Anolis sagrei: one gene and its partners. The protein of the gene in region 2 interacts with the protein of the main gene of each other region in a pairwise test. Links are inferred from orthologs where the notes say so. Each region holds a gene or a part of one and is shown on either strand. Other genes may lie near its edges.

Region 1 (7,836 bases), on a different chromosome or scaffold from region 2:
ATAAATAAATAAATAAATAAATATTAATTCATTTATTATAATTAAATAAATATTATTATAGTATTAATATTTATTGTTGTTGTTTATTCATTCAGTCATTTCCTACTCTTTGTGACCTCTTGGACCAGCCCACACCAGAGCTCCCTGTTGGCCGTCACCACCCCCAGCTCCTTCAGAATCAAGCCAGTCACTTCAAGGATGCCATCTATCCATCTTGACCTTGGTTGGCCTCTCTTCCTTTTTCCTTCCATTTTCCCCAGCATCACTGTCTTCTCTAAGCTTCCCTGTCTTACTTCATCTTTGCCTCTGATATCCTTCACTCCAATGAGCACTTGGGCTTTATTTCCTGAAGTATGGACCGGTTGGATCTTCTCGTGGTCCAAGGCACTATCAGAATTAATATTAATATTATTTAGGATTATTATTAATAGATCCTAACTGTGAGAGCCACTGTATGGAAGTTGGAGCAGTCTTGGCCCTTATTTCTCATGCCAGTAAGGTAATGCTCAAGATCCTGCAAGGAAGACTCCAGCAATACATGGAGCGAGAGTTGCCAGATGTTCAAGCTGGGTTTAGAAAAGGCAGAGGAACGAGAGACCAGATTGCCAATATCCGCTGGATAATGGAGAAAGGCAGGGAGTTTCAGAAAAACATCTACTTCTGCTTCATTGACTATTTTAAAGCCTTTGACTGTGTGGATCATAATAAATTGTGGCAAGTTCTTGGTGGGATGGGCATCCCAAGCCACCTTGTCTCTCTCCTGAGGAATCTGTACAAGGACCAAGTAGCAACAGTCAGAACTGACCACGGAACAACAGACTGGTTCAAGATTGGGAAAGGCGTACGGCAAGGCTGCATCCTCTCACCCAACCTTTTTAACTTGTATGCAGAACACATCATGCGATGTGCAGGGCTTGATGAATGCAAAGCTGGGGTGAAAATTGCTGGAAGAAACATTAACAACCTCAGATATGCAGATGACACCACTCTGATGGCCAAAAGCGAGGAGGAGCTGAGGAGCCTTCTAATCAAGGCGAAAGAAGAAAGTGCAAAAGCTGGGTTGCAGCTAAACGTCAAAAAAACCAAGATTATGGCAACAAGAATGATTGACAACTGGAAAATAGAGGGAGAAACCGTGGAGGCCGTGACAGACTTTGTATTTCTAGGTGCAAAGATTACTACAGATGCAGACTGTGGCCAGGAAATCAGAAGACGGTTCCTTCTGGGGAGGAGAGCAATGTCCAGTCTCGATAAAATAGTGAAGAGTAGAGACATCAGACTGGCAACAAAGATCCGCCTAGTCAAAGCCATGGTATTCCCTGTAGTCACCTACGGATGTGAGAGCTGGACCTTAGGGAAGGCTGAGCGAAGGAAGATCGATGCTTTTGAGCTGTGGTGTTGGAGGAAAGTGCTGAGAGTGCCTTGGACTGCAAGAAGATCTGGAGGGAAAGATACTAGAGACAAAGTTGAAGTACTTTGGCCACATCATGAGGAGACAGCAAAGCCTAGAGAAGACAATTATGCTGGGGAAAGTGGAAGGCAAAAGGAAGAGGGGCCGACCAAGGGCAAGATGGATGGATGGCATCCTTGAAGTGACTGGACTGACCTTGAGGGAGCTGGGGGTGGTAACGGCCGACAGGGAGCTCTGGCGTGGGCTGGTCCATGAGGTCACGAAGAGTCGGAGACGACTGAACGAATGAACAACAACAACTGTGAGAGCTGTTCAGTAGTGGAAGTCTCTGCCCTGGAGTGTGGTGGAGGCTCCTTCTTTGGGGACTTTTAAACAAAGGCTTGATAGCGATTTCCCTGCTTCTTGGCAGGGGGTTGGACAGGATGGCCCACAAGGTCTCTTCCAACTCTATGATTCTATGAATTTATAATAATTAATTTATTATAATTACCAATAAATTACTCCTCCAACTGCAGCATTGTCTGTCTCACATTAGAGCAGCTTCTTTGCAAGCATCGTAAGGGGTGCAGTGTCACCTGTACGCAGATGACGTCCAACTCTGTCACTCCTTTCCACCTGCTACTAAGAAGGCTATTCAGGTCCTGAACCGCTGCTTGGCCGCTGTGATGGTCTGGATGAGGGTGAACAAATTGAAATTGAATCCAGACAAGACAGAGGTCCTCCTGGTCAGTTGCAAGGCCAAACAGGGCATAGGGTTACAGCCTGTGTTGGATGGGGTTACACTCCCCCTGAAGACACAGGTTCACAGCATGGGTGTGATTCTGGATTCATCGCTGAGCCTGGAACCTCAGGTTTCAGCGGTGACCAGGGGAGCTTTTGCACAGTTAAAGCTTGTGCACCAGCTGCGCCCATACCTTGGGAAGCCTGACTTGGCCACGGTAGTCCATGCTCTGGTTACATCCCATATAGACTACTGCAATGCGCTCTACACGGGATTGCCTTTGAAGACTGTCCGGAAGTTTCAATTGGTCCAATGGACGGCAGCCAGATTGCGCATACAACTCCTCTGTTGCGCCAGCTCCACTGGCTGCAAGTCTGCTACCGGGCATAATTCAAAGTGCTGGCTTTAGCCTATAAAGCCCTCAGCGGTTCTGGTTCAACTTACCTGTCTGAATGCATCTTCTCTTATGAATCTGCTAGGACTTTAAGATCGTCTGGAGGAGGCCCTGCTCTCGATCCCACCTGAGTCACAAATATGTTTGGCGGGGATGAGAGACAGGGCCTTCCCAATGGTGGCCCCTCGGCTATGGAACGCCCATCTTACAGACATTAGATCGGGGGGCCCTCCCTCTTAACATTCCGGAAAATGCAGTGTAAAAGATATAGGAACTTTGAACCACTGGACAACGAGATGGATAATGTTTTAAACTAGGAGGTGCAAATGTTTTATGTTTTTATTACTTTTGTTTGGTTTTATACTATGTACTAGCTTTACCCACCACGCGCTGCTGTGGCCAACCTTCCCTCCCTATTTCTCTTCTTCTTTCCCTCCTTCCTTCGCTCCCTCTTTCTGTCCTTCCTCCCTTTTTTCTTTCCTTCTCTCCTTCCTTCCTTCCTTCCTTCTCTACCTCTTTCCTTCCCCCTTTTTTCTTTTCATCCCTCTTTTTCTGCTTTCTTCCTTCTCTACCTTTTTCCTTCCTTCCTTCGCTTTTTGCTTCTATACATACTTCTGCCTTTCCTTCTTTCCTTCCCTCCCTCTCTCTCCTTTCTTCCTTCTCTACCTCTTTCTTTCCTTCCCCCTTTTTCTTTTATCCCTCTTTTTCTCCTTTCTTCCTTCTCTACCTCTTTCCTTCCTTCCTTCGCTTTTTGCTTCTATCCAGACTTCTGTCTTTCCTTCTATCCTTCCCTCCCTCTTTCTCTCCTTTCTTCCTTCTCTACTTCTTTCCTTCCTTTCCTTTTTTCTTACTTTCTCTTCCTTCTCTACCTCTTTCTTTCCTTCCCCCTTTTTCTTTTATCCCTCTTTTTCTCCTTTCTTCCTTCTCTACCTCTTTCCTTCCTTCCTTCACTCTTTACTTCCATGCTTCCTCTCTTTCCATCTTTCTTTACCTCCCTCTTTCTCTCCTTTCTTTCTTTCTCTCCTTTCCTCCCTCTTCCTTCCCTAAATGACCCTGTATCATCATTTAGCTTTTCGTCACTTAGCTTTTTGGGGTTTTTAAGTCCTTTCCACTTTTTTTGGGGGGGGGGGTATGAATGATGGTCACTCATTGGTCTGTTAGGGGTATAGTGCCCAAATTTCGTGTCAATTCGTCTAGTGGTTTTTGAGTTATGTTAATCCCACAAACGAACATTACTTTTATTATTTATATAGATTATTGTGTCAGGCTACACAGAGAAGCCATTGAAATCCACAAGCATGTGGACAATTTCAACAGAAAGGAAGAAACCATGAAAATGAACAAAATCTGGCTACCAGTATTAGAAAAAACTCTAAAATTACAACAGCAAAACAACAGAGAGGAAACAAACAGGCACATAAAATCACTCTCAACAAAAGAGTCCCCCCAGGCACTTCCAAGCCATTGAATGCTAATCAAGGTGATCAGCTGAAACATTCACACCTAGCCCCAGCAGACAAGAGTCCTTTGTCTCACCCAGGTCATTCCACAGATATATAAACCCATTTTTCCTACTTCCAACAGACCTCACTACCTCTGAGGATGCTTGCCATAGATGCAGGCGAAACGTCAGGAGAAAAATTGCCTCCAGAACATGGCCATATAGCCCGGAGAAACCTACAACAACCCAATGTGTTAAATGTTTTATGATGTTCTTGGGCATGGAACCGTTGCTCTGTCAGTCGCCCTGAGTTGCCTGAGGGCTGAGAAGGGCGGTATACAAATAGAGTAAGCACAGAAATCAATAACCCTTGTGGGGAGCCTTCCTGAGATCCAGGTGTGGAGAAGGCCAAGGAGGGAGGGAGAGCAGGTGAGAAAAAATTAGAAGGTGGGAGCAAAAGTAGCGTCGGGAGGAGGAGGAGGAGAAAAGGAGGCGGTGGCGGAGGAGAGGGCGGCGCCCGACAAAAGGCGCCCTCCTCCACCTGCGCTTCTCCTCCCTCTTTCTCTCCCTTCTCACCTTCCCTGCTTGCCTCCCTCGTCGGAGGCCACGTCCGGGCCTTGCTCCCCTCCCTCCCTCCTTCCTTCCCTGCCGCCATGCTCCCTGCCCGCGGCGGAGGGGGCTCCATGCCGCCGCCTCCCACCGCTACCGCCCACTACCCGCCACCTCGCATCACCCTCCCTTCGGGGCTGGAGATCCTGCGCACCTACTCGGGGGCCTTCATCTGCCTGGAGATCGTAAGTCCACCAAGGAGGGGAGAGGAGGGGAGGGGAGGGGGGTCTCCCTCGGGATAAACGCTCAACAAGTGGGAGAGAGAGAGAGAGCACGCTTTGGCTGCACCCACTCTGTACATTAAGTCATGCACCCACTTGTTGGCACCGCTCGAATTGCCCTGGCTCAAAGGCTGAAGAGAATTGTAGCTTGACGTGGTCTTCAGCCATGGCCTTCAAGACATGGATTCAGACAGTATTATTTCAACAGTGTAGATCAGGAATGGGCAAACTTGGGCCCTCCAGGTGTTTTGGACTTCAACTCCCACCATTCCTAACAGCCGGTAGGCTGTTAGGAATGGTGGGAGTTGGAGTCCAAAACACCTGGAGGGCCCACGTTTGCCCATGCTTGGTGTAGATGGGGAGGGGAGGGGAGGAGGGGTCTCCATCGGGATAAACACTCAACAAGTGGGAGATAAAGAGAGAGAGCACGCTTTGGATGCACCCACTCTGTACATTAAGCCATGTGCCCACTTGTTGGCACCGCTCGAATTGCCCTGGCTCAGTGGCGTGGAGTCCAGAGAATTGTAGCTTGACATGGTCTTCAGCCATGGCCTTCAAGACATGGATTCAGACAGGATTATTTCAACAGTGTAGATCAGGAATGGGCAAACTTGGTGTAGATGGGGAGGGGAGGGGAGGAGGGGTCTCCATCGGGATAAACGCTCAACAAGTGGGAGATAGAGAGAGAGAGCACGCTTTGGATGTATCCACTCTGTACATTAAGCCATGCGTCCACTTGTTGGAACCGCTCGAATTGCCCTGGCTCAAAAGCGTGGAGTCAAGAGAATTGTAGCTTGACGTGGTCTTCAGCCATGGCCTTCAAGACATGGAGTCAGACAGTATTATTTCAACAGTGTAGATCAGGAATGGGCAAACTTGGGCCCTCCAGGTGTTTTGGACTTCAACTCCCACCATTCCTAACAGCCAGTAGGCTGTTAGGAATGGTGGGAGTTGGAGCCCAAAACACCTGGAGGGCCCAGTTTGTCCATGCTTGGTGTAGATTTTTTGAGCTCTTGATCGACTCTCTGGTCTTATTTGCATCTGTTGTTGGCAGGTTGGATGTCAAACCAACCAACCAACCAACCCACGGGTTCTTCTATTTCTATGGGTGTCAAATTAATGCAGTTTGACACAAGTTGGACAGCCCTGGCTCAATGCTATAATAATAATAATTATCATTATTATTATTATTGTATTTGGGCCCCCGGTGACGCAGTGGGTTAAAGCACTGAGCTGCTGAGCTTCTTGACCAAAAGGTCGCAGGATCAATTCCAGGGAGTGGCGTGAGCTTCTGCTGTCAGCCCTAGCTTCTGCCAACCTAGCAGTTCGAAAACATGCAAATGTGAGTCGATCAATAGGTACCACTCCGGCGGGAAGGTAACAGCGCTCCATGCAGTCATGCTGGCCACATGACCTTGGAGGTGTCTATGGACAACGCTGGCTCTTCGGCTTAGAAATGGAGATGAGCACCAGACCCCAGAGTCAGACATGACTGCACTTAATGTCTGGGGACAACCTTTACCTTTTTTTATTATTATTGTACGGTTTTCTGGCATTGTATATTTCTGCCGCTTCTGTGATTGTTCATACCACGTGACAGTCACATTGAGGAAAAACAGCAGGAAAAACTCAGCTGTTATCAGGACCTCAAAATCGAACTGCAAAGGCTCTGGCATAAATCAGTACAGGTGGTACCAGTGGTCATGGGCACACTGGGTGCTGTGCCAAAAGATCTTAGCCGGCATTTGGAAACAATAAACATTGACTAGATCACAGTCTGTCAACTGCAAAAAGCCACCTTACTTGGATCTGCACACATCATTCAAAAATACATCACACAGTCCTAGATGCTTGGGAAGTGTTCGACTTGTGATTTTGTGATATGAACTTTACTTAGGCGATCCCTCGTAGTCCAAGGATGATGGTCCTCCAAGTTCAGTGTCCTGGCAGTGGGTCTGTAGGTGACTGTGGAGCCCTATTCTTGATCTGCATCTTCTTCCACTGTGAGGGCATTGGTTTCCAGGTGGAAGGCGGTCTTGGTCGGGGTTAGCTTGACACGCCTTCCTTTTGGCACGTTTCTCTCTTTCACCCTCCATTCGTGCCTCTTCAAATTCTGCAGCACTGCTGGTCACAGCTGACCTCTAGCTGGAGCTGTGTTATGAAATCCAGCACATATATCTCGTTTGCTGTGACAAACTGTGGTTTTGTGTCAGAATAATAATAATCATCATCTTCTTCTTCTTCTTTATTTATACCCCACCACCATCTCCCCAAAGGGGACTTGGGGTGGCTAACATGAGGCCAAACCCAAAAATACAATACAAAGAGACAAAAATTACATTAAAATAAGATACATGAAGTAACAAAATAAAATAAACATTTACAAAATAGCATAATGAGGAGATAGAACACAGTGGGCGAACCAAATGCACAGGATAAAAAAAAGGATAAAACCCTGGATGAGATAATAGTGGGAAAGTGTATTTCTGAGGGAGGAGCTTATAAGGGGTGAACAGTTGGGTTAGACCTAATGCTATGGGAGTTGTAACTTTATCTGGCTTTTAGCCTTTTCTGCCTAAGGGCCCTTCCAGACAGGCTTCATATCCCAGAATCTGATTCCAGGTTTTCTGTTTATCCCAGATTATCTGGCAGTGGGGACTCATATAATCCAGTTTAAAGCAGAAAACCTGGGATCAGAACCTGGCATATTAAGGCCAGGATCTAGAAGGGCCCTAAGAGGGCATCTACAATGCAATTTTGATGCCACTTAAACTATCCTCTTCAATGTGATGATATCACTGGACTTGTCATTTTATATGACCTTTCGGGTTCTTTACCAAAGAGGACTGGTGCCTCACCAAACTATGAGTCTCAGCATTCTGTAGTATTGAGCCATTACTGATTTAATGAATGTTTTATTAATTGTTTTAATAGTTATTATATGTCTCTGTTATATGTAGTGGCATTGAATTACTGCCAAATGTAAGCCGTCCTGAGTCTCCCTTCAGGGGTTGAGGAGGAACAAGATAGAAATGTCGG
Region 2 (7,763 bases):
TTATTATCAATATTATATGTAGACAATATATTATCAGTAGGAATTTAATGTATTATTATTAGTATACTACAATATTATAATAAAATATTATATGGTATTATTATTATGTATTATAATATTATAAATATTTTATATGTATATACAATATATTATTATCATAGCACAGTATTATTATCAATATTATATGTAAACAATATATTATCAGGAGGAATTTAATGTATTATTATTATTAGTATATTACAATATTGTTATAAAATATTGTTATATGGTATTATTATTAGTATTACGCATTATATTATAATATTATTATAAATATTATATGTATATACAATATGTTATTATCATAGCACAGTATTATTATCAATATTATATACAGACACAATATATTATTATCACAGCACAGTATTAGTATTGTATATTATTGTATTGTGGTATACTATTATCAGTAGGAATTTAATATATTATTAGTAGTAGTATATTACAATATTATTATAAAATATTGTTATATGGTATTATTGTTAGTATTATAATGTATTATATTATAATGTTATAAAATTATATGTAGACAAAATATGATATTATGTATTATATTATAATATTATTATAAATATTATATGTATATACAATGTTTTATTATCATAGCACAGTATTGAAAATATATATGAATACATATAATACATATAATACACATATATTATATGTAGACACAATATATTATTATCACAGCACAGTATTAGTATTATATATTATATTGTACTAAGCAATTATCAGTAGGAAATTAATATAATACTATTAGTATATTACAATATTATTATAAAATATTATATGGTTTTAATGTTATATATTATTATATTGTACTATACTACTATACTGCAATATTATTCAAAATATTGCATATATACTAAAATTGTGCTATGCTAATAATATAATACATTGTGTATACATAGAAGATTAATTATAATATTGTAATTATTAAAATATAATAATAATGTATATAATATCTAATAATATAATAATATAATACTAATATCTTGAATATACTACTACTGATAATAAATAACTGTATTATATGTATACACAACATATTGCTATAATAGCACAGTATTAATATTATATATTATATTCTACTATACCAGTATACTGCAATATTATTCATAATATTACATGTAATATTTCATGTATACTAGCATTGCGCTATGCTAATAATATAATATATTGTGTATACATAGAATATTAATTATAATATTATAATATAATAATACTATTATGTTAAATAGAATACTACTGATAATATATAACAATATATAATGATAATACTATTCATAAAATATAATTATAATATTATGTTGTAGTATAGTATTATTGGTTGGTAGGAACCGTCCTGAGTCCTTTTTGGGAAATAGAACGGTATTTAAATAATAATAACTATAATTATACGCTGTCAATAAAGAGCCCCCGGTGGCACAGTGGGTTAAAGCGCTGAGCTGCTGAAAGGTCAGCAATTTGGACCCAGAGAGCGGAGGGTGACCTCCCACTGTTAGTCCCAGCTTCTGCCAAACTTACAGTTCGAAAACATACAAATGTGAGTAGATGAATAGGTACCGCTTTTCTGGGAAGCTAACAGCGCACCATGCAGTCACGCTGGCCCCATGACCTTGGAGGTGTCTACGGACAATGCCGGCTCTTCAGCTTAAGAATGGAGATGAGCACCACCCGCCAGAGTCGGACAGGACTAGATGTAAGGTCAGGGGAACCTTTACCTTTTTAATTATATAATATATTGCGCTATATCATAAGTTGTAGTAAATATACTATATTATAACATCTTTATTATATTGTAATATATTATATTATAACATGCATATTAATATTGTGTTATATTATTTTAGTATTATTACATTACAATGTAAATATATTATATATATACACAATGTAATGTATAACACTAATATTGTCTATAATAACAATATATCGTGTAGACATAATATTGATAATACAATATAACACTAGTCATAATACAATATGATAAGACAAAAGAATAATATTGCAATATAGTAGTACTAATATATATAATGATAATACTGTTTTATTATTGTATATTTGTATAGTTTAAGAGATAGGACAGTATATAAAACATTATTATTATTATATGGTACCAGTAGATTAAGTAGCCCTCGGTGGCACAGCAGGTTAAACCGCTGATCTGCTGAAGTTGCTGACCAATAAGTTGGTGGGTCAAATCCAGCCTAGCAGTTCGAAAACATAGAAGTGTGAGTAGATCAATAGGTACCGCTTCTGTAGTATATAATTCTAATATTGTGCTATGCCAATAGTAAGGTAAAGGTATTCGCTTGACATTAAGTCAAATCGCACCCGACTCTGGGGTGTGGTGCTCATCTCCATTTCTAAGCTGAAGAGCCGGCGTTGTCCGTAGACACCTCCTAGGTCATGTGGCTGGCATGACTGCGTGGAGCGCCATTAACTTCCCGCCGAAGCAGTACCTATTGATCTTCTCACATTTGCATGTTTTCGAACTGCTAGGTTGGCAGAAGCTGGGGCTGACAGCGGAAGCTCATGCCGCTCCCCGGATTTGAACCTGCGACCTTTTGGTCAACGAGTTCAGCAGCTCAGCGTTTTAACCCACTGCACCACCGGGGGCATATAATAATGTAATGTTATTATATTATTATACATTATGTAATGCAATTATATTACTATATATTATATAATGTAATTATATTATTATGTAATTATATATATTGTGTACTGTAATTATATTATTATATATTATATTTATGTAATTATATTACTAGCATAGCAATATTAATATATTATCTTAATGTAATTACAGTGTTAGCATATATTAATATATTATTTTAATGTAATTATATTGTTAGTATAAGAATAATATATTTATTTATTTACTTTATTTATATACCGCTTTTCTCAGCCCTCAGGCGACTCAAAGCAGTGAATATATAATATATATAATATATTATTACCATAGTAATATTATATTAATATATTATATTAATGTAATTATATTATTACCATAGTAATATTATATTAATATATTATATTAATGTAATTATATTATTACCATAGTAATACTATATGAATATATTATATTAATGTAATTATATTATTACTATATGAATATATTATATAAACGGTTCCGGCCCAAAATACCTTGAGTACCGCATCTTGGCCTACGAGCCCACGAGGACCTTGAGATCATCCGGGGAGGCCCTTCTCTCGGTCCCGCCTGCCTCACAGGCACGCTTGGCGGGGACGAGAGAGCGGGCCTTCTCGGTGGTGGCCCCCCGGCTGTGGAACTCCCTCCCCGCTGAAATTAGACAGGCGCCTTCCCTCATGGCCTTCCGTAAGGGCTTGAAGACCTGGCTCTTCGAAAAGGCCTTCAATTAAGTGCTATGTTTTGGAATGACCACCGGAATGGACTATGACCACGAGATTGATTATGACCCTAACAAGACGAAGCGGATTTTTAGTTTAATTAGTTGTGTGTTAGTTGATGTGCGTCATGATCTTGATTTACTGTAACTGTTGTCTTTATGTTCTATGTTCTGTACACCGCCACGAGTCGCCTTCGGGCTGAGAGTGGCGGTTAACAAATGCAAATAATAAATAAATAAATAAATAAATAATAAATATTATTACCATAGTAATATATTATATTAATGTAATTATATTGTTACTATATAAATATATTATATTAATGTAATTATATTGTTACTATATGAATATATTATATTAATGTAATTATATCGTTACTATATGAATATATTATATTAATGTAATTATATTATTACTATATGAATATATTATATTAATGTAATTATATTGTTACTATATAAATATATTATATTAATGTAATTATATTGTTACTATATGAATATATTATATTAATGTAGTTATATCGTTACTATATGAATATATTATATTAATGTAATTATATTGTTACTATATGAATATATTATATTAATGTAATTATATTATTACTATATTAATATATTATATTAATGTAATTGTATTGTTACTATATTAATATATTATATTAATGTAATTATATTGTTACCATAGTAATAATTTATTATATTAATGTAATTATATTATTACTATATTAATATATTATATTAATCCAATTATATTGTTAGCATAGTAATATATTAATATATTATATTAATATATTATTACCCTAGTAATATATTATATTAATCTAATTATATTGTTAGCATAGTAATAATATATTAATATATTTAATGTAATATTGTTAAGCATAGTAATAATATTACATTGTTATTAAATGAGTAAATTGATAAAACTTATTATTTGGAGGGGGAAAAAAAACCTGGCTATAGAATGCAGTTCAATGCAATGCAGTTTATGCCCAAACTGGATTCTCTAGCAGTGTAGATCCAGCTGGATGGGAAGGAGTGCATGAGAGAGGGGGCGTGGCTTTGAGCCGAGGCGAAGGCGGTGCTTGAAAGCCCGGAGCATTCCAAAGGGGCGTGGCTTGGAGCTTGGGGGCGTGGCTTGGGGCGGCCTCTCAGAGCGAGGGGGCGTGGCTTGGGAGGGCCGAGAAGCCCGGGGAAAGGGGCGTGGCTTGGAGGCCGAGAAGCCCGGGGAAAGGGGCGTGGCTTCGACCAGCTCGCTTGCTTTTCTCTCTCTCTCTGGGCTCGCCTCCTTTGACACGTCTGCAGGGTGAGTGAGTGGCATTGGCAGCCTGTCAATCCCTCACCAAAGCGGCCATCAAACAACATAAAACACACACCACAGTCACTGGGGCTGCTGCTGCTGGGCTCATAAATTGCAGCTGGATGGGGTTTCTCCCCCCTCTTTGGCCCTCCTCCCCCTTTTGCAAAGCCGGTGTGCCATTAATTGCAATTTTTCCCGTCTTTGCAAAAGAGAGACTTTGCTTCTTTTTTTGCCCCCTTCCTTAAAAAAAAAGAATTTTATTTTTTCCAATTTTTTTTTGCACAACTTGCAAACTTTGCTGGCGATTTTCCCTCTCCTCCTCCTCTTTTTTCTTTTTTGCAAGCAAACCAGACGCTGGGAAATTTTGTGATGTGGCTTTTTTTGCATTTTTCCCCCTTCTTGCCGTTCGGAGCAACGATGTGATTTTTTTTCTCTCCAAATAATTGGATTGCAAAGCGGTTTGACTATTTTATTATTTTTTTGCAAATCTATTTTCTGGGAAAATAACACCATTTCTTCCCTCGATGAAGGAAAAAAACAAATCCAAGAGGAAGAGAGAGCGAGAAAGAACCACCGGCAACTAACTGTTGTCAACTTTGGAGCCTTTGCCTTCCCGAAATATCTACATTTTTGTGGTGCTGAAGGAGAATTGCAAGAGGGCGAAGGATGAAGAAAGAAGCTTGAGGGAGAAGAGGAAGAAGAAGAACACAAAGCCAATCGTTGGAAAGAGCTCTGCTGGGAGCTGCTGGGACTCAGCATCTTCCTCCTCCTCCTCCTCTTTCTCTTCCTCCAGATTGCTGGGACTGACTCAAGGAAAGCCGCCCAAGGATGAGCAAAGGAGCCCAGCGTTGAGAGAAGAGCTCCCAGGAAAGAAAGAAGGAAGGAAGAGAAACCCAGGAGAGGAAGCCCTGCTTTTGCCTGCTTCGATTTGCCTGGAAAGGAGCAGCCAGGACTGAGCTCGGACTTGCATCTGCCTCCTCTCCTTCTCCTCTTTCCTCTTCTTTTTATTCTTCCTTCACCTCTTCTTCCTCCTCTTCCCTCTTCATCTTCTTCCCATCTTTCCTCCTTCTCTTTTCCACCCTTTTCTCCTTCCTCTTCTCTTTAGTCTTCTCCACTTCTTCCTCCTTTCCGCCTCCTCCTTCCCTTCCTTCTCCTCTTCTTTTTAATCTTCCTCCTCTTCATTTTTCCTTTCTCTTCTTCTTTCCTCTTCTTCCTCTTCCTCCTCTTTTTCTTCCTCCTCTTTTCCATCTCCTTTTTCTTTTCCTCCTCTTCTTTTTATTCCTCCTCCTCTTCTTCCTTCTTTCCTTCCTCCACTTCATCTTCTTCTTCCTCTTCCTTCCCTTCTTCCCCTTCTTCCTCATCTTTTTATTCTTCCTCCTCTTCTTCCTTCTCTCTTTCCTCCTCCTCTTCATCTGCTTTCTCTTTTCCTTTTCTCCTCTCTTCTTTCCCTTTCTTCTTCAACCCCTTTTTATACTTCCTCCTCTTCCTCCTCTTCATCTTCTTCCTCCTCCACTTCCTCCTTCCCCTTTTCTTCCTCTTCTTTCTTCTTTCCCTTCCTTTTTCTCCCTCTTCTTTTTATTCTTCCTTCTCTCCTTCCTCCTCTCCTTCCTCCTTTCCTTCTTCTTTCCCTTCTTACCTCTTCCTCTTCTTTTGATTCTTCCTCCTCCTCCTCTCCTTCCTCTTTTCCTTCTTCTTTCCCTTCTTACCTCTTCCTCTTCTTTTGATTCTTCCTCCTCCTCCTCTCCTTCCTCTTTTTTTCTTCCTCTTCTTCCTCCTCTTGATCTTCAATACTCTCACTCCTCTTCCTCCTTCTCTTGCTTCTCATCCTCCTCCTCCTTCCTCCTCTTCATCTCCTTCTTCCTCCTCCTTCCCTTCTTCCTGATCTTCTTCCTCCTCTTTCTTCTCTTTCCTCTTCTTTTTCCTTTTCATTCACCTCTTCAGCTTCTTCTTCTTCCTCCTCCTCCTCCTCCTCCTCCTCCTCCCCATCTTCTTCTTCCCCTTCCTTCCTCCTCCTTCCTGCTCTCTTCCTGGGCCATGGACGAGCAGACGAGGATGCTGCAGACCTTGGCGGGGGTGAACCTGGCGGGGCACCCGGTTCCCGGGGGAGGGATGCCCTTGCCCCCCCCTCACGGGCACGAGGTCCCCGACGGTGGCGACGGGCGCAAGCAGGACATCGGCGACATCCTCCACCAGATCATGACCATCACCGACCAGAGCCTGGACGAGGCGCAAGCAAAGTTGGTCCCCCCCACTTCTCCAGCAGACAAACCCCCCCTTCCCTCCCCAAAAACCCAAAAGTAATACCCTTGTGTTTTAAATGTGCCTGATGCGCTTCGGTCCCCTTCTGTCTCTGTCTGTGTGCATGAGTGTGTGTATGTGTGTATATGGACCCACAAAATATGGACCCACCTGTGCGGGTTCCTTTGAGGTCAAGATTCCCATCTTATGATTAGTGTGAGTGTAGGTATGTGTGGATAAGGTGTCCTCTCCAGAATGCATGCTCAGAAGGATGGGTAGTCTGTGATGCTCAGAAGGATGGATATTCAGGTCGATGCTGTTGGTTTCATCCATTCCTCCCTTACTGTTTTGCAAGGTCCAAAATGGCCCATCGATGCACTGCTCCTTTTTCTCAGAGCCAAAAGTTGCCCACCTTTATGAGATGCAAGCAAAGTTGCTCTCCTTCAGGAAAGGAATCTGCTTCACAATACATCTCCCCATCCACTCCATCCTTGCATGTGTTTGTGTTGACACAAACATTGAGAGGGACATCTCATCCATATCTGTGGACATGAGATGTCCCTCTCCAAAAATGCATCCTTCCTTCAGCAAGGAGAAGTCCCCATAATCATGCATAAGATGGGATGTTTACCTAGCCGATCCCATTTTCCATTGCCATTTCGATATGGTCCAAAATTGTCACCTGGCAAGGGGTTGGACTAGATGACCCTTGTGGTCTCTTCCAATTCTGTCATTCGACCTCCCTCCCTTCCAGACAGGCCCTATATTATATCCCATGGTCTGATTCCATGTTGTCTGCTTTAGACTGG
Region 3 (8,325 bases), on a different chromosome or scaffold from region 2:
CCACCTTTGTGCCCTGCGTCTTTGCCTGCCGCGTGGCGGAGCAGGCCGGAGAGTGCTGCTGCCTGCCCTACCTGCCCGGCAGCCTCGTCGCCCTCCGCACCGGCGTCCGGGAGAGGTACCACATCGAGGTGAGGCAAGGGAGCCCAGGGAGGTCATCCAGCCCAACCCCCTTCTGACAGGAAGGAAGGCACCACCCCATCCCTCCCCACAGATGGACATGCAGCTTTTGCTTAAAGACTTACATAGAAGCCTAGAGTTGGAAGGCACCCCCAAAGGCCATCCAGTCCAACCCCTTTTTTGATAGGCAGGTGGCCATCCAGCCCATATTTCAAGGCTTCCATACAATGCTAGAGTTGGAAGGGGCCCCAAGGTGCATCTAATAATAAGGGGCATCATCTGATCCCTCCCAACAGATGTCCATCTAGCCCATGTTTCAAGGCTTCCATAGAATGCTAGAGTTGGAAGGGGACCCAAGGTGCATCTAATAATGATGATGATGATGATGATGATAATAATAATAATAATAATAATATAATAGAACCACAGAATGCTAGAGTTTTAAAGGATCCCCAGGTGCATCTAATAATAAGGGGCATCATCTGACCCCTCCCAACAGATGTCCATCCAACCTATGTTTGAAGGCTTCCATAGCATGCTAGAGTTGGAAGGGGCCCCAAGGTGCATCTAATGATGATGATGATGATGATGATGATACAACCATAGAATGCTAGAGTTGTACAGGACTCCAACATGCATCTAATAATAAGGGGCATCATCTGATCCCTCCCAACAGATGTCCATCTAGCCCATGTTTCAAGGCTTCCATAGAATGCTAGAGTTGGAAGGGGACCCAAGGTGCATATAACAACAACAACAACAACAACAACAACAACAATAACAGAACCACAGAATGCTAGAGTTGGAAGGGACCCCAAGGTGCAAATAATAATAATAATAATAATAATAATAATAACAACAACAACAACAGAACCACAGAATGCTAGAGTTGGAAGGGACCCCAAGGTGCAAATAATAATAATAATAATAATAATAACAACAACAACAACAGAACCACAGAATGCTAGAGTTGGAAGGGACCCCAAGGTGCAAATAATAATAATAATAATAATAATAACAACAACAACAACAACAGAACCACAGAATGCTAGAGTTGGAAGGGACCCCAAGGTGCAAATAATAATAATAATAATAATAATAATAACAACAACAACAACAACAGAACCACAGAATGCTAGAGTTGGAAGGGACCCCAAGGTGCAAATAATAATAATAATAATAATAACAACAACAACAACAACAACAGAACCACAGAATGCTAGAGTTGGAAGGGGCCCCAAGGTGCAAATAATAATAATAATAATAATAATAATAATAATAATAACAACAACAACAACAACAACAACAACAACAGAACCACAGAATGCTGGAGTTGGAAGGGACCCCAAGGTGCAAATAATAATAAGGTATATCATCTGATCCCTCCCAGCAGATGTCCATCCAGCCTGTGTTTCAAGGCTTCCATAGAACGCTAGAGTTGAAAGGGGCCCCAAGGTGCATCTAGGACCTCATCACACTAGAGTGTCTATCCACTTTCTGGTTGCTCCCTCCTGTAGAATTCTGGGGTTTGTAGTTTAGGGAGGGGCCTTTAAACTACAGCGCCAGAGAGGTCCTGGGCCTCCCTAAACTACAAACCCCAGAATGCTGCAGGAGGGAGCAACTGGATGCTCTAGTGTGATGAGGTACCAATAATAATGATGATAATAATAATAGAACCACAGAATGCTTGAGTAATAAGGAACCCCCACGGTGCATCTAATAATAATGATGATGATGATGATGATGATGATAATAGAACGATAGAATGCTAGAGTAATAAGGGACCCCACAGTGCATCTAATAATAATAATAATAATAATAATAATAATAATAATAATAATAGAACCATAGAATGCTAGAGTTTTAAGGGACCCCACGGTGCATCTAATAATGATGATGATGATGATGATGATGATGATAATAATAATAATAATAATAATAATAATAGAACCATAGAATGCTTGAGTAATAAGGGATCCCCACAGTGCATCTAGTAATAATGATAATAATAATAATAATAATAATAATAATAATAATAATAACACTAGAACCATAGAATGCTAGAGTTTTAAGGGATCCCACGGTGCATCTAATAATAATGATGATGATAATAATAATAATAATAATAATAATAGAACCATAGAATGCTTGAGCAATAAGGGACCCCCACAGTGCATCTAATAATAATGATAATAATAATAATAATGATGATAATGATAATAATAGAACCACAGAATCCTAGAGTTGGAAGGGACCCCAAGATGCATCTAATAATAAGGTGCATCATTTGATCCCTCCCAACAGATGCCCATCCATCCTGTGTTGAAGACCTCCATAGAATCCCAGATTTGGAAGGGACCCCAAAGGGGGATCTGGTCCAACCCCATTCTGTCTGGCAGGAAGACCCCATCCAATCCCTCTTTACAGAGGGCCATTCAGCCAAAGCCAAATGGCCATAGATATCATATAGTTAGATAAGATGCTAGATATATAATTGAATCCTAGAGTTGAAAGAGACCCTCATCCGATCCCTTTTTACAGAGGGCCATTCAGCCAAAGCCAGATTGCCGTAGATCTCATATAGAAGAGGGATAAGATGCTAGATACATAATTGAATCCTAGAGTTGAAAGAGACCCTCAAGGGCCACCCAGTCCAACTGCTAGGAATACACCACTCGATTCATCCTGACAGAGGGCTGTCCACATCTGTGACAACAACAACAACAACAACCACAACATTCTGCTTTGAGTCTTTTTTAAGAGAGGAAACAAGGATATAATTCATAATTAATGATGATAATAATAACAATAATGTTTCCCCGCAGGGCTCCATCTGTTCGGACTGGGTGGTGATGTCCTGCTGCCCGCTCTGCGGACTCTGCCAGCTCTCCAGGGAACTCAACAACAAGAACTGAGGACGCGAAGCCGGAATCCGAACACAGGACCACATTCCCACCACACAAACAGGAGTCTTAATAAATAAAATGTATACCTTGGTATAGATAATTTCCCCGACCTGTGCCTCTTTTTTGTTTCATTGGGGGAAGATTTGAGATGAATGTGGAGCTGGTGGGGCCAAACGATGACTCCCATGGTTCCTGTAAGAAATCCACATATAAAATGAGTTAACTTGGGGGTCCCTTTAACACATATAGTGCTACGATTTCACATCCTATGGAATCCTGGGACTTCTATTTATTTATTTATTTATTTATTTATTTAACTGGATTTTTTTAGTGCTGTATGTGTTTAATTCTATTTTAATGTTTGTGTTTTTGTATATTTTAATGTATACTAAGATCTTTATATCAAGCCACTTTGAGTTCTAGAAATAATAATAGTAATAATAATAATAATAATAAGCCAGTCAAGGTGGTCCCAGTGGTGATCGGCACACTGGGCGCAGCGCCTCGAGACCTTGGCCTGCACTAAAACACAATCGGCGTTGACAAGATTACCACCTGCCAGCTGCAGAAGGCCACCTTACTGGGATCTGCACACATTATTCGGCGATACATCACACAGTCCTAGAAACTTGGGAAGGGTCCGATGTGTGATCCAAGACAACAGCCAGCGGAGCGTCTGCTGTGGACTCATGTTGTGGTGTTTCTAATAATAATAATAATAATAATAATGGAAATGAAATATACAAATACCAATAATAATAATAATAATAATGTAGGAAAATGAAATATATCAATATAATAATAATGTCAATATAACGGTAATAAAGTAGGAAATGAAATATACCAATAATAATAATAATGTAGGAAAATGAAATATGCCAATAATAATATTAGTAGTAGTAATGTAGGGAAATGAACTGTATCAATAATAATAATAATAATAATAATGTAGGAAAATGAAATATATCAATAATAATAATAATGTAGTAAAATGAAATATATAATTAATAATAATAATAGTAATGTAGGGAAATGAAATATATCAATGCTAATAATAATGCCAATATAACAGTAATAATGTTGGAAAATGAAATATACCAATAATAATAATAACAATGTAGGAAAATGAAATATACTAATATAATACCACTAATATTGTAAGAATATGAAAATAATAATAATAATAATAATAATAATAATGATATAGGAAAATGAAATATCCCAGTAATAATAATAATAATGTAGGAAAATGAAATATATTAATATAAGACTACTAATACTGTAAGAATATGAAAATAATAATAATAATAATGAGATAGGAAAATGAAATATGCCAATAATAATATTAGTAGTAGTAATGTAGGGAAATTAACTGTATCAATAATAATATTAATAATAATAATGTAGGAAAATGAAATATATCAATAATAATAACAATAATGTAAGAAAATGAAGTATATAATTAATAATAATAATAGTAATGTAGGGAAATGAAATATATCAATGCTAATAATAATGTCAATATAACAGTAATAATGTAGGAAAATGAAATATACCAATAATAATAATAATGTCAATATAACAGTAATAATGTTGGAAAATGAAATATACCAATAATAATAATAACAATGTAGGAAAATGAAATATACTAATATAATACCACTAATATTGTAAGAATATGAAAATAATAATAATAATAATAATGATATAGGAAAATGAAATATCCCAGTAATAATAATAATAATAATGTAGGAAAATGAAATATATTAATATAAGACTACTAATATTGTAAGAATATGAAAATAATAATAATGATGATATAGGAAAATGAAATATGCCCATAATAATAATAATAATAACAGGAAGAAGGAATAAAATATTCCAAGAGAAAGAGAGAAGAAGAAAAAGGAAAATAAATAGGGAAAAGATAAATAAGGAAATTAGTTCCTAAAGGAGCAAATATTCCATTGCCTAAAGGGAAACAACACAACTCTAGGCCAGAGAGGCTTCTGTGGCTGAGGAGAAAGCCAGGCCTGCTGGGAGTGGTAGTCCGCGCCGCTCTGGAGCCAGGCCTGCGTCTTCCTTGGCGAGGGAGGCGCGAGACTACACTTCCCGGCAGGCTCCGCGGCCAGGGGAGGCGGTGTCACTTTAGCCCCGCCCCCTCCGGGTTGCCACGCAGGCTTGGCGCCGCCGGACGGACCGAGGAGAAAGCAGGTGAGCGCTCCCTCGCGAGGAGGGGGGAGGCGGTTGCTAGGGGCAACCAGAGCATCCTGGAGGGCCACGACTAGGCCCGAAGCCCTTGGTTTCCTGTTGTGGGGACCCGCCTTGGGGCCCCATCTTCTGGGCGAAGGCAGGCAGGGGCTTTTTGGGAGGAGGGGGTCTCTCTCCAGGAAAACCTCCCCTGCAAGGTAGGCCCCAAAAGCCTTGCCCCTATAGCTCTGTCTGTACATTGTACATGCCATAGAGATCTAGCTATAGAGATATACATACACACAGGTACATTGCATGCCCCAGGCATCTCTCTCTCTCTCACTATCTCCCTCTTGTCCTTGTTCCTGTCTGTATGTCCATTGAATGACCCCAACCATATATATATATACGCACACACATATACATATACACATGTACATTGAATGCCCCAGACCTACACACACACACATATGCACACACACATATATATTGAATATATAGTTACACACACATATATGGATAAACATACATATATATAGGTAGATATATATACACACACACATTGATATACATACATGTACATTGAATACCCCAGACCTACACACCCTCACACACATATGCACACACACATATATATTGAATATATACTTACACACACATATACGGATAAACATACATATATATAGGTAGATATATACACACACACACATTGATATACATACATGTACATTGAATACCCCAGACCTACACACCCTCACACACATATGCACACACACACATATATATTGAATATATAGTTACACACACATATACAGATAAACGTACATATATATAGGTAGATATATACACACACATATTGATATACATACACACATGTACATTGAATGCCCCAGATCTATACACATACACATGTATGCACATACACATATATATTGAATATAGACATACTTACTACTGTTGCGGTTAGGTGATCCCTCGTTTTCCGAGGAGGATTGTCTTCCAGTGTTCTTGTGGGTCCGTATGTGGCTGTGGAGCCCTATTCTTGACCCGCATCTTCTCCCTCAGTGAGGGCATTGGTTTCCAGGTGGAAGGCGGTCTCGGTCGGGGTTGGCTTGACACGCCTTCCTCCTGGCACGTTTCTCTCTTTCACTCTCCATTTGTGCCTCTTCAAATTCTGCAGCACTGCTGGTCACAGCCGATCTCCAGCTGGAGCGCTCAAGGGCCAGGGCTTCCCAGTTCTCAGTGTCTATGCCAGAGGTTTGTAGGTTGGCTTTGAGCCCATCTTTCAATCTCTTTTCCTGTCCTCCAACATTCCGTTTTCCGTTCTTGAATTCGGAGTAGAGTAACTGCTTTGGGAGATGGTGGTTGGGCATCCAGACAACGTGGCTGGTCCAGTGGAGTTGATGGCGGAGGACTATCGCTTCAATGCTGGTGGTCTTTGCTTCTTCTTCCAGCATGTTGACATTTCCCTGCCTGTCTTCCCAGGAGATTTGCAGGATTTTCCGAAGGCAGCGGTGATGGAATCGTTCCAGGAGTTGCATGTGACATCTGTAGACAGTCCATGTTTTGCAGGCGTAAAGCAGGGTTTGGAGGACAATAGCTTTATCAACAAGCACCTTGGTATCCCTACGGATGTCTCAGAAAAATGCTGCACTTAGAAAAATGCTGCACTTGCAGAGTTCAGGCGGTGTTGTATTTCTGTGTCGATGTTGACTTTGGTGGAGAGGTGGCTGCCAAGGGAGCGGAAATGGTCCACATTTTCTAATGAAACTGTATCTCTGGCATTGGGGAGGGGGTGGCTGGTGACTGCTGGAACAGCACTTTGGTTTTCTCGATGTTCAGTGACAGGCCGAGCTTCTCGTATGCTTCTGCAAAGGTGTTTAGTTAGAGTGGCTTGTAGATCTTCTTCTGAATGCGCACATACGACGTTGTCATCAGCATACTGGAGACATACTTACACATATGTGTAGATAAACATATATATAGGTAGATATATTCACATGTAAGATGGCTTTTAAGCAACCTTTAATGTGAATATAAGTGATTTTAATTTTTGTATATATTTATGGTTTTATGTCCTGGCATTGAATGTTTGCCGTATATATGTTGTGCTCTGCCCTGAGTCCCCTAAGTTGAGGTGTAAAGGGCAGAATATAAATGTTTTAAATATATATTGCACATACACATATATTGATATATACACACATATATAGGTAAATATGCACACACATTAACATAACTCAAAAACCACTGGATGAATGGACACCAAATTTGGACACAATACACTTATCAGGCCAACGAGCGACCATCACTCAGAAAAACACTGAAAAACACAACAGAAGGGACTTAAAAAGCAAAAAACAATACATTACAATGCATCCGCAGAACCACATATACACGGATATACAAACACATATATACAGACTGGGCCACAGCAACATGTGGCAGGGGATGGCTAGTATATAAAATAAATACTAACTTTACTCTCTTTTTGTCCTACAGACGGGATCAGAATGGCGAGCAAAACCAGTCCGGAGCATCTCTTCAATCCGGCCACGGAGATGGAGACGGCCGGGACAGTGCTGGGCACCAAGTAAGGGTCAAGGAATATTATGACATGATGCATCCATCCTTCCACATACCATCATTTGGGGGAAAGGATGCTTTTAGGCCCAGAAATCATTTATGGGGCACTTCCTGCACCTGTTGATAGATAGATAAAAAGATAGATAGATAGATAGATAGATAGATAGATAGATACCCTGTTTCCCCAAAAATAAGACAGCGTATTATATTAATTTCAGCTCCCAAAGATGCACTACGTCAGTGTTTCTCAACCTGGGGGTCGGGATCCCTGAGGGGGTCATGAGGGGGTGTCAGAGGGGTCGCCAAAGACCATCAGAAAACACAATATTTTCTGGTGGGCATCGGGATTCTGTGTGGGAAGTTTGGCCCAATTCTATCATTTGTGGGGTTCAGAATGCTCTTTGATTGCAGGTGAACTATAAATCCCAGCAACTACACCTCCCAAATGATAAAAATCAATCCAGCCCCCGACCCCACCATTATTCAAATTTGGACGTATCAGGTATTTGTGCCATATTTGGTCCGG
Region 4 (8,348 bases), on a different chromosome or scaffold from region 2:
GTGCCAAATTTGGTCCAGTAAATGAGAATACACCCTGCATATCAGATATTTACATAACAATTCATAACAGTGGCAAAATTACAATTATGAAGTAGCAATGAAAATAATGTAATGGTTGGGGGTCACCACAACATGAGGAACTATATTAAGGGGTCGCGGCATTAGGAACGTTGAGAACCCCTGCTTTGGGGAGATAGGGTGGGTTATAAAGTTTATTATTATTATTATTATTATTATTACTGTTTTATAAAAAATAGTTTTAAAGTTTTAAAAATGTATTTTAGTGTATAGAGGGGAGGACCAGGGCACTTTGAATGGTGGCTAATCCACTTGTATTTTATGTTATGAGACATCTTAAACAAAGCAGCGATGTCAGCCATTTTTACTGTAATGCAGTGGTTCTCAACCAAGTGTTTTGGCCTACAACTCCCAGAAATCCCAGTCAGTTTACCAGCTGTTAGGAATTCTGGGAGTTGAAGCCCAAAACATCTGGGGACCCACAGGTTGATAACCACTAATGTAATGTATCTTAACTTGCTTTTAGAGTGTATATTGAAATATTTACTTATGTTTTTGTTTTTATGTCTTAGTGGATTGTCCTTGTTTTTATTTTATTTCAATGCTTTTATTTTAATTTTTTATTATATTTGAGATTTAATTCCTTTGTTGTAAGTTTACCCTCCATCACCCTGTATTATTTTGATGTGTTTGTACCCATTTTGAGGCATTGAATGTTTGCCTTTTTATATGTAAACCGCCTGAGTCCCTCTGAGGAGAGATGGTGGTCTAGAAATAAAGTTCATTATTATTATTACATATTATTTCTTCAACTTTTTGCCAGGGTTGATCTGAGTCTATTGTATGATGTTTTTCAATAATTTTATGTATGAAACAAAATCAATGTATGTTAAAGCATCAGAAAGCAAGTGTTTTATATAAGCAATATATAGATTGATACAAACATATATACACATATGGATTTATGAACCCATATTTTCTTAGCCAGCTATTTGGACAATCCTATCTTAGCCGGCCATTTGGACAATTGCGCTTTCTGATTTCCAGATAAGGGGTGCTGGCCCTGTTACAGTGGAGTCTCGCTTATCCAACCTTGCTCATCCAATGTTCTGTATTACCCAACGCAGTTTGCCTCCCACCCAGATCCACAGCTGTTTCAATACATTGCAATGTTTTGGTGCTAAATTTGTAAATACAGTAATTACTACACAACGTTACAATGTATTGAACTGCTTTTTCTGTCGATTTGTTTAAAACAGGGGTCCTCAAACCTTTTTTGTGACCAGAATTCCAGAAATGAATTTATTTCAGTAGAAGTCTGCACAAAGACCTGCCATAAGCATTATGTGGCTACAGAGGGCCAAGTCACAGTCTCTCAAACTGTTGGAGGGCCGGATTATAATTTGAAAAAAAGACATGAATGAATTCCTATGCACACTGCACGTATCTTATTTGCAGTGCAAAAAAAACCCACTTAAAAACAATACAATAATTAAAATGAAGAACAATTTTAGCAAATATAAACTTATTAGTATTTCAATGGGAAGTGTGGTTGATGAGATAGGATTGTTGTTGTTGTGTGCTTTCAAGACATTTCAGATTTAGGTTGACACTGAGTGAGGGCTGGATAAATGACCTTGGAGGGCCGCATCTGGCCCTCGGGCCTTAGTTTGAGGACCCCTGGTTTAAAACATGTTTTGGTACTTAATTTGTAAAATTATAATGTAATTTTACATTTATAAACTTTTCCTTCATCCCTTATTATCCGACATTCTGCCAGCCCGTTTATATTGGATAAGCGAGACTCTATTGTATTTAGAAGCCTTTTGTTCCTGTCAGGGGGTGGCAGTGCGACATCACAGGATGCCTCAAATATAAATATATACAACATTTATTACCACTCACAAAAATAATCACAAAGGAGGAATAATAATGCTTGGTGGATTATCTCCAGAATCTTTCAACATTCAATCCGTTTTGGGAGGAGTTGACATGAGACACAAATATTCCTCATATATAATATATATATCTGAAAGGAGATAAGTAAGGAAAGGGGACAGAAAGGAGGTGAAACACCTCATGTTTTATTGTTCACAGCCATATTATGTAAACCTTCGCACGTCTCATAATGTCAGGCCCCTTTCACCCAGTTGAATAAAATCCCACATTTTCTGCTTTATATATATGGGACATATGGCAGTGTGTGGACTCAGATGTCCCCGTTCAAAGCAAACATTGTTGGATTTTCTGCCTTGGTATTCTGGTTTATATGGCTGTATGGAAGGGCCCTCGGTTTACAGGTGAAAAGGGAATCTGAAACAACGGAAAGGCGACAAGGAGGAGGAAGGGCCTTTCCCTCAGGGTTGGCTTTCCTTCCCCGCGGGCTGAGGGCCAAAGGAGCCCAAGCCGCACTCGAGGAAGGGGGGGAGGGAGGGGCACTTGGGAGGAGGAGAAGCACAAGCAGCTGCTGCCTCTCTCCCCGCTGCTCCAGGTCTATCGGAATGTCCCTGAAAGCGGCCCCTTTAAATCTCGCCCTCCTCTGCCTCTGCTCTTCCCCCCCCCCACCCCCCGCGTCGCCTCGCGCCACAAACAGCTGTTGCCCTTTTCTCTCCCCTCCTCCTCCCCCTCCTCCACCCCCTGAGGCGCGCGACACCTTCGTTCCCGGGCGCGCGCGCGCTCCCGCCGACTCCCCCTCCCCCTCCTACAAGAGCAACGGCTGTTCCAGAATTTTCCTCACTCCCCCTCCCTCGCGCCTGCCTGCCTGCCTGCCGACGCCCCTCGGCCAACCCCCCCTCCCTCCCGCCCCGCCACTCGAGGATGCCCCCGCCCTGCTGTTCCGTATGTCGGCCTCGCCTCCCCCGCCCCACACCCCCGGGTCCGTTTGCGCGGCTCAGCCAAGGCGGCCGGCACTGGCGGCGGCGGCGTCGGGCGCGCCGTGATGGATGGATGGCTGGCTGCTTGGCTGGCTGGCTAGGAGCAGGTTTGAGTGACAGCGCTTACCTTGGGTGCCAATCTTCGTCACACTGACAAGCGGCTGCAGCAATCGGGACCCGCACCGCCGCGACGCGCGTCACCGCGCACACACGCCCTCGTCCAATCGGGAGCCACGCCGGGCTGACACGACAGCACGCTCCGCGAGACGCCTCATCAATATTCAGCGAAGGAGTGGGCGACGTCGCGCTTGGAGGTACGCCCACCTCGGCGCCGGCCTAGGCTGGAAGGGGCGGGGCCTTCCCCTCCACGGGCCCGCCCCATCGGGGCCTCGGCGCGCGACCGCCTCGGGTTTATGAATACTCATGAGGTGGGCGGGTTGGCCACGCCCCCTCTCCCAGGCCTTTAATAGGTTCCTTCGGCTTGAGGGAAGCTGCGCGTGACGTCATGAGGCCTTATCGTAAGGCTAAGTGGCCAGCAGGTGGGTCGCAGCGCCCATCACTGTCGCGACACGATGGGCTACCCAGTACTCCCATTCTCTTTAAAGGAATGTGCAGGCAACAAAGGGAAAGAGGAGCAAGGGACTGTTAACGGCTTAGGATTCCTCTGCTCCTCTCACGCCCTCTCTCTATATATGAATACATGGGCAAATTTCGGCATCTGAGGCAGGCCTGGCCAAACTCTAGCCCTCCATCTGTTTTGGACTTCAACTCCCACAATTCCTAACAGCCCCAGGCCCTTTCCTTTTCCCTCTCAGCTGCTTAAGCGGCCTGAGGCTGTTAGGAATTGTGGGAGTTGAAGTCCAAAACAGATGGAGGGCTAGAGTTTCCCACACCCGCTGTATATGATGCCGTGGAATTATAAATTAAAAAATAAATGAATTTTGAAACCCTTTGTAACTTTTAGCGCACCTGGTATTGAAACCCCTTTGTGACTTTTGACCCACTGGGTATATACACATACACACATTTATATAAACAATATATACATTGATAAATACACACACACATATATACATATACACACATACGGATTTATGAACCCATATTTTATATGCATGTTTACATCTGAATGAATACATATATATTTATTTACATACAGATAAGGGTAATGGAGAGGGTCTTATAGCAACCCTTTCCTGGTTGCCCAAATTTAACTGTTGAAATACATTGAGATCTGTAACAATGTGATTCCTTTCAGAAGGAAAAAAGTGAAAATCATTATACCTGTGGTTTTAAAACAGTGTTGGTTGGGGGCAGGAAATGATACGAAACATGCAGATGTGAGTAGCTCAATAGGTACCGCTTCTGCGAGAAGGTAATGATGTTCCCTGCAGTCATGCTGGCCACATGACCATGTCTATGGACAACACCAGCTCTTCGACTTAGAAATTGAGATGAGCACCACCCACCGGAGTCGAACACAACTAGACTTAATGTCAGGAAAACATTTACCTTTACTTTTTAATGTAGGCTTATTTGAAATTCAGGCCACAGAGCTTAGTGCAGTGTTTCCCAACCTTGTTTTTTTTTTTTTTTTTTTACCAGGGACCACCCTTCAACATTAGTTCCAAAAGGGTTAAGAATCAGTTTTGGTCAATTTTAGATCCAGTTCTAGATTCATCGCTGAGCCTGGAGCCCCAGGTTTCGGCGGTGGTCAGGGGAGCTTTTGCACAATTAAAACTTGTGCGCCAGCTGCGCCCGTACCTTGGGAAGTCTGACTTGGCCACGGTGGTCCACACTTTGGTTACATCCCGTTTAGACTGCTGCAACGCTCTCTACGTGGGGTTGCCTCTGAAGACTGGCCGGAAGCTGCAGCTAGTCCAACGCTCGGCAGCCAGACTACTAACGGATGCTGGGTACAGGGAGCACACCACTCCGCTGTTACACCAGCTCCACTGGCTGCCAATTAGCTTCCGAGCACAATTCAAAGTGCTGGTGTTAACCTATAAAGCCCTAAACGACTCCGGCCCTGTTTACCTCTCTGAATGTATGAACCATCAAGATTATTAAGATCGTCTGGAGAGGCCCTGCTCTCAGTCCCACCGGCCTCGAGTGGGATCAGAACCGCCCCTTCTAGCCTGACATTTAGGAAACAGGTGAAGACTTGGTTATGGAGACAGGCATTTGACGAGTGAGCCAACACCCTGAGATATGGATGGAGGATGATGAGCAGCGATTTTAGTGTAACGACTGACCATTATAGTTATTGATTGTAATTGCTGTTTTAATGTTTTACTGTAATATGTATTGCGATGTTTTATTGATTGTATGTGATATTATGGTTGGAAACTGGTCTGAGTCCCTCAAGAGAGGTGAGAAGACCGGTATACAAAACTTTTAAATAAATAATATTTGGGGTGTTGATTCAGAAAATTGCATTGGATAGACCACATCAGCTCTAGTTTCTGATACAGAACATATGCCATCCAGGAGTCGCCATCTGCTCACCCATATTTAATAATCTAGAGCTGATGTGATCTATGCAATGCAATTTTCTGAATCAGCACCCCAAATAACCCCAGGAACAGGGCTAAAAATGACACCAAGGTGCCTCTGTTTCCAGGCGCCACATGGAACAGCTCCGTTCAGGTAGAGGGAGGAAGAGGAAAAGCAGCAGTCAGGAGGTTTGTCACACCTTTCGTTGGTAGTCAGCCTCTCCCTTCCTGACATACCCATTGCTTCAGCACTATAAGAGGATTTTGTAAGTCCAGTCGTTCTCATTGCTACATGTCATATTTTCGTTCTTGGAGACCATTGATGGTCCATGGACCACAGGTTGGGAACCACTGGTTTCATGAGAGGCCTGTGCGAAGAATTCCAGCTGACAGTTTGCTAAGTAGTGAGCCCTCCCTGTGTGTCTTTATGGATAAGAGAGAGTGTGTGTATATAATAACCTTGATTTTGCCATTATATGTCTACAGATTTTGCATCAATGGATTCAATCAATCACAGCATGAAAAAAAAATGAGAGTTGCTTTTTGGAATTTTATATGGTATATGCACAATTCCAATAAGCAACTCTGGATTTTGCCATCTATGTGTTTCATTATCCATGGTATGTGTTTGTGTGTCTGTCTCTAAAAATCAAACCCGAGCTTGTTTTCTTTTCAGGGTTGCTTGGGAGCCAACTTACCACATATCTACCTGGAAGTACACAATCCCAAAACACTGTACTCATTCAAAATTAGAGTGTGTTACCCATCATAAAACCTTGGAGCTGTTTTTGTATCCTCGGAGTCCACTTTGACAAATTTATGGATGAAACAATAGTAGTAGATACTTTTCATATTAACTTTCTGGGGCGTCAGTGCTTTTACTAGAGGGTACCCATAACTTCAAATTAGAAATTCCCAATATGAATAACTAAGAAGTTTAATGTGGTTAAAATAGTATGTAGAGGTCATTTTAATGACTCTGTGCTCATTTCTATGCAAGTGGATAAACATGTTTTTGCAAAGAGTTAGAGACTTGTTAAAATAAACACTAAAAATCAATAGAGATGTGGAACATTCATTTTTTTAGTTGTTAAATTCTTTGTATTTATAGAATCATGTACTGTATCTGGCTATGAAATACAAAAAGGTGAGAATAAAAGATAATTTAGTCATCTTATGTTTTGTATTCTGACTTTTGGATTTAACTGCTGTTTTATTTTCCAATACATTAATACACCAATAACTTATATCTGTGAATATTTCCCTAATCTGTTGTCTATGAAGACCTATTCATAACGAACTAGTTCATGACCTAAATATTGCAACAACATTACTGTGATTCACAAAAATGTGTAATCTATGAATTGGAAAAAGTGACCTGAATTCAGCAACACCCAATGCTAAATAACACTCATTTTAAAACTACTGTTTTACAATGTTGCACCATTTTGTTCTTGGTACAGTTTGTTTCTAATCATTAAGTTTAACAATATAGCATTTGTTGGCATTGTCATCATATTGTAGGTATTTCACAATGGCTGGAATTCTCAGAATAATAGGATATTCAGCTTTGAGTCTCCTTGTGGAGAGAAAAAATGGGATATAAATAAACAGAAGGAGAACTTAATATTATTGGTTTCATCATATCCATATACTAATAAGATATGAGTAACACATTTTTATTACAAAAATACAGTAAGAAGCTGAACACTGATTTAAAATGAACCAAGCACCAGACATAACAAGTCTGGTTACTTGGCTCACACTTAAGTGAATGTGAAAGGCCTTGTTCCATTTTAGAAAAATCATTGTATTTTTTACAAAATTTGTGAGTGGTGCCATAATTTGTTTTTGTAACTTTCAGTGAAGTCCTATATGTGTCTACTTCAAACTATGTTCTACTAGGTCCATTGGACTTATTCCCAGAAAAGGATGTATACTAAAAGTGCATAAGAGCAAAGAAGAAACCAGCTTCCAATGTTTCTGTATCCATATGCTGGCAGTTTCCATAGTTTGATGATTCTTGGGACTCAATGGGGGAAATTCAATATGGCAGCCAGCAAACAGGCAGAGCAAATTTGGCAGCTGAGTTCATTCTGATGATCTCTTTCTGAGTTTTTTGATGGTATCCTTTCAGAATAAATAATTATTCTGCATTGATTCTCCTGGGTTTCTCACCCAGCCTGAAAAAAGCAAGGAGCATATTTACAACAAAGATTGAAAAAATGAGGGCATAGAGGAAAGACATGGCCAATTTTAAAATAGCTCCCTATTGGCTTAACTCCCAGTCATCCAATGCCAGTCGAAATGAAAAAGGGCTGGCATTGCCTTTGGAAAATGCTTAGGCTTTGGCGGATCTCCAGAGGGGAGGGGATCAGAGCCAGTTGCTGTGATTAACTCTCCCAGAGCCCTTGACCTTCATAGGTTTTTGCTGTTGCAATAAGATTGTGTTGGTAAATCCTAATGATCAAAAGGAGGATAGGAGGAACTAATGGCAGCACACTTTCCATTTGTGTAGTAGTTGCAACATTTCCCATGATTAAAATAAGTACTAAGTATGGTTTTAAACTTCTTGTAAGCCTTCCTGAACCCAGAGATTGGGATGGGATGTAAGTAAAGAAGCAGCTTTAAATCACACATTCCCTCTTGCTTCCAGCCTCCTTTAACTAAACTATGTTTAGGTTTAATCAACAACTATAAGCCCCAATATTTGTAAAGTTTTATAGCACTGCTTGGCAGATGGTCCCACCAGCTGCAGTTCACTAATGCCAGCTTGGTCTTAATGTGCATGTTTCCAGTGATGGGCTAGAGTCAAGGATGTACCTTTCTATATGCAAATATACATTACTCACAGAAAAATGCTACTATTCTAAAACTTTTGTCGTTCTATGCCAGAAAGTTAATGTACATCACAATAGATTATTTTTGTTTGTGCAACCTCACATTTAAGTAGAATCTCATG

Evidence for each region.
Region 1: the proteins of PBX3 (region 2) and MAL2 interact in a two-hybrid assay, tested with the Homo sapiens proteins (2 studies listed by BioGRID). The two-hybrid records come from large-scale screens. The link is inferred for Anolis sagrei from reciprocal best matches to the Homo sapiens genes PBX3 and MAL2.
Region 3: the proteins of PBX3 (region 2) and prenylated Rab acceptor protein 1 interact in a two-hybrid assay, tested with the Homo sapiens proteins (2 studies listed by BioGRID). The two-hybrid records come from large-scale screens. The link is inferred for Anolis sagrei from reciprocal best matches to the Homo sapiens genes PBX3 and RABAC1.
Region 4: the proteins of PBX3 (region 2) and PKNOX1 interact in a two-hybrid assay, tested with the Homo sapiens proteins (2 studies listed by BioGRID and IntAct). The link is inferred for Anolis sagrei from reciprocal best matches to the Homo sapiens genes PBX3 and PKNOX1.

Annotation. Positions count from the first base shown.
Region 1 is NC_090024.1:22,145,633-22,153,468, reverse strand, and holds the start of MAL2 (protein MAL2), read left to right. Parts: upstream 1-4,502; 5' UTR 4,503-4,620; coding exon 4,621-4,761; intron 4,762-7,836. UniProt on the Homo sapiens protein: Member of the machinery of polarized transport. Required for the indirect transcytotic route at the step of the egress of the transcytosing cargo from perinuclear endosomes in order for it to travel to the apical surface via a raft-dependent pathway.
Region 2 is NC_090031.1:6,688,363-6,696,125, forward strand, and holds the start of PBX3 (pre-B-cell leukemia transcription factor 3), read left to right. Parts: upstream 1-4,635; 5' UTR 4,636-6,750; coding exon 6,751-7,013; intron 7,014-7,763. UniProt on the Homo sapiens protein: Transcriptional activator that binds the sequence 5'-ATCAATCAA-3'.
Region 3 is NC_090035.1:83,783,799-83,792,123, forward strand, and holds the start of prenylated Rab acceptor protein 1, read left to right. Parts: upstream 1-5,132; 5' UTR 5,133-5,237; intron 5,238-5,374; exon of another isoform or gene 5,375-5,431; intron 5,432-7,715; 5' UTR 7,716-7,726; coding exon 7,727-7,806; intron 7,807-8,325. Other genes in the region: cornifelin homolog, read left to right, coding at 1-128, 2,943-3,032. UniProt on the Homo sapiens protein: General Rab protein regulator required for vesicle formation from the Golgi complex. May control vesicle docking and fusion by mediating the action of Rab GTPases to the SNARE complexes.
Region 4 is NC_090023.1:75,238,070-75,246,417, reverse strand, and holds the start of PKNOX1 (homeobox protein PKNOX1), read right to left. Parts: upstream 3,200-8,348; 5' UTR 3,019-3,199; intron 1-3,018. UniProt on the Homo sapiens protein: Activates transcription in the presence of PBX1A and HOXA1.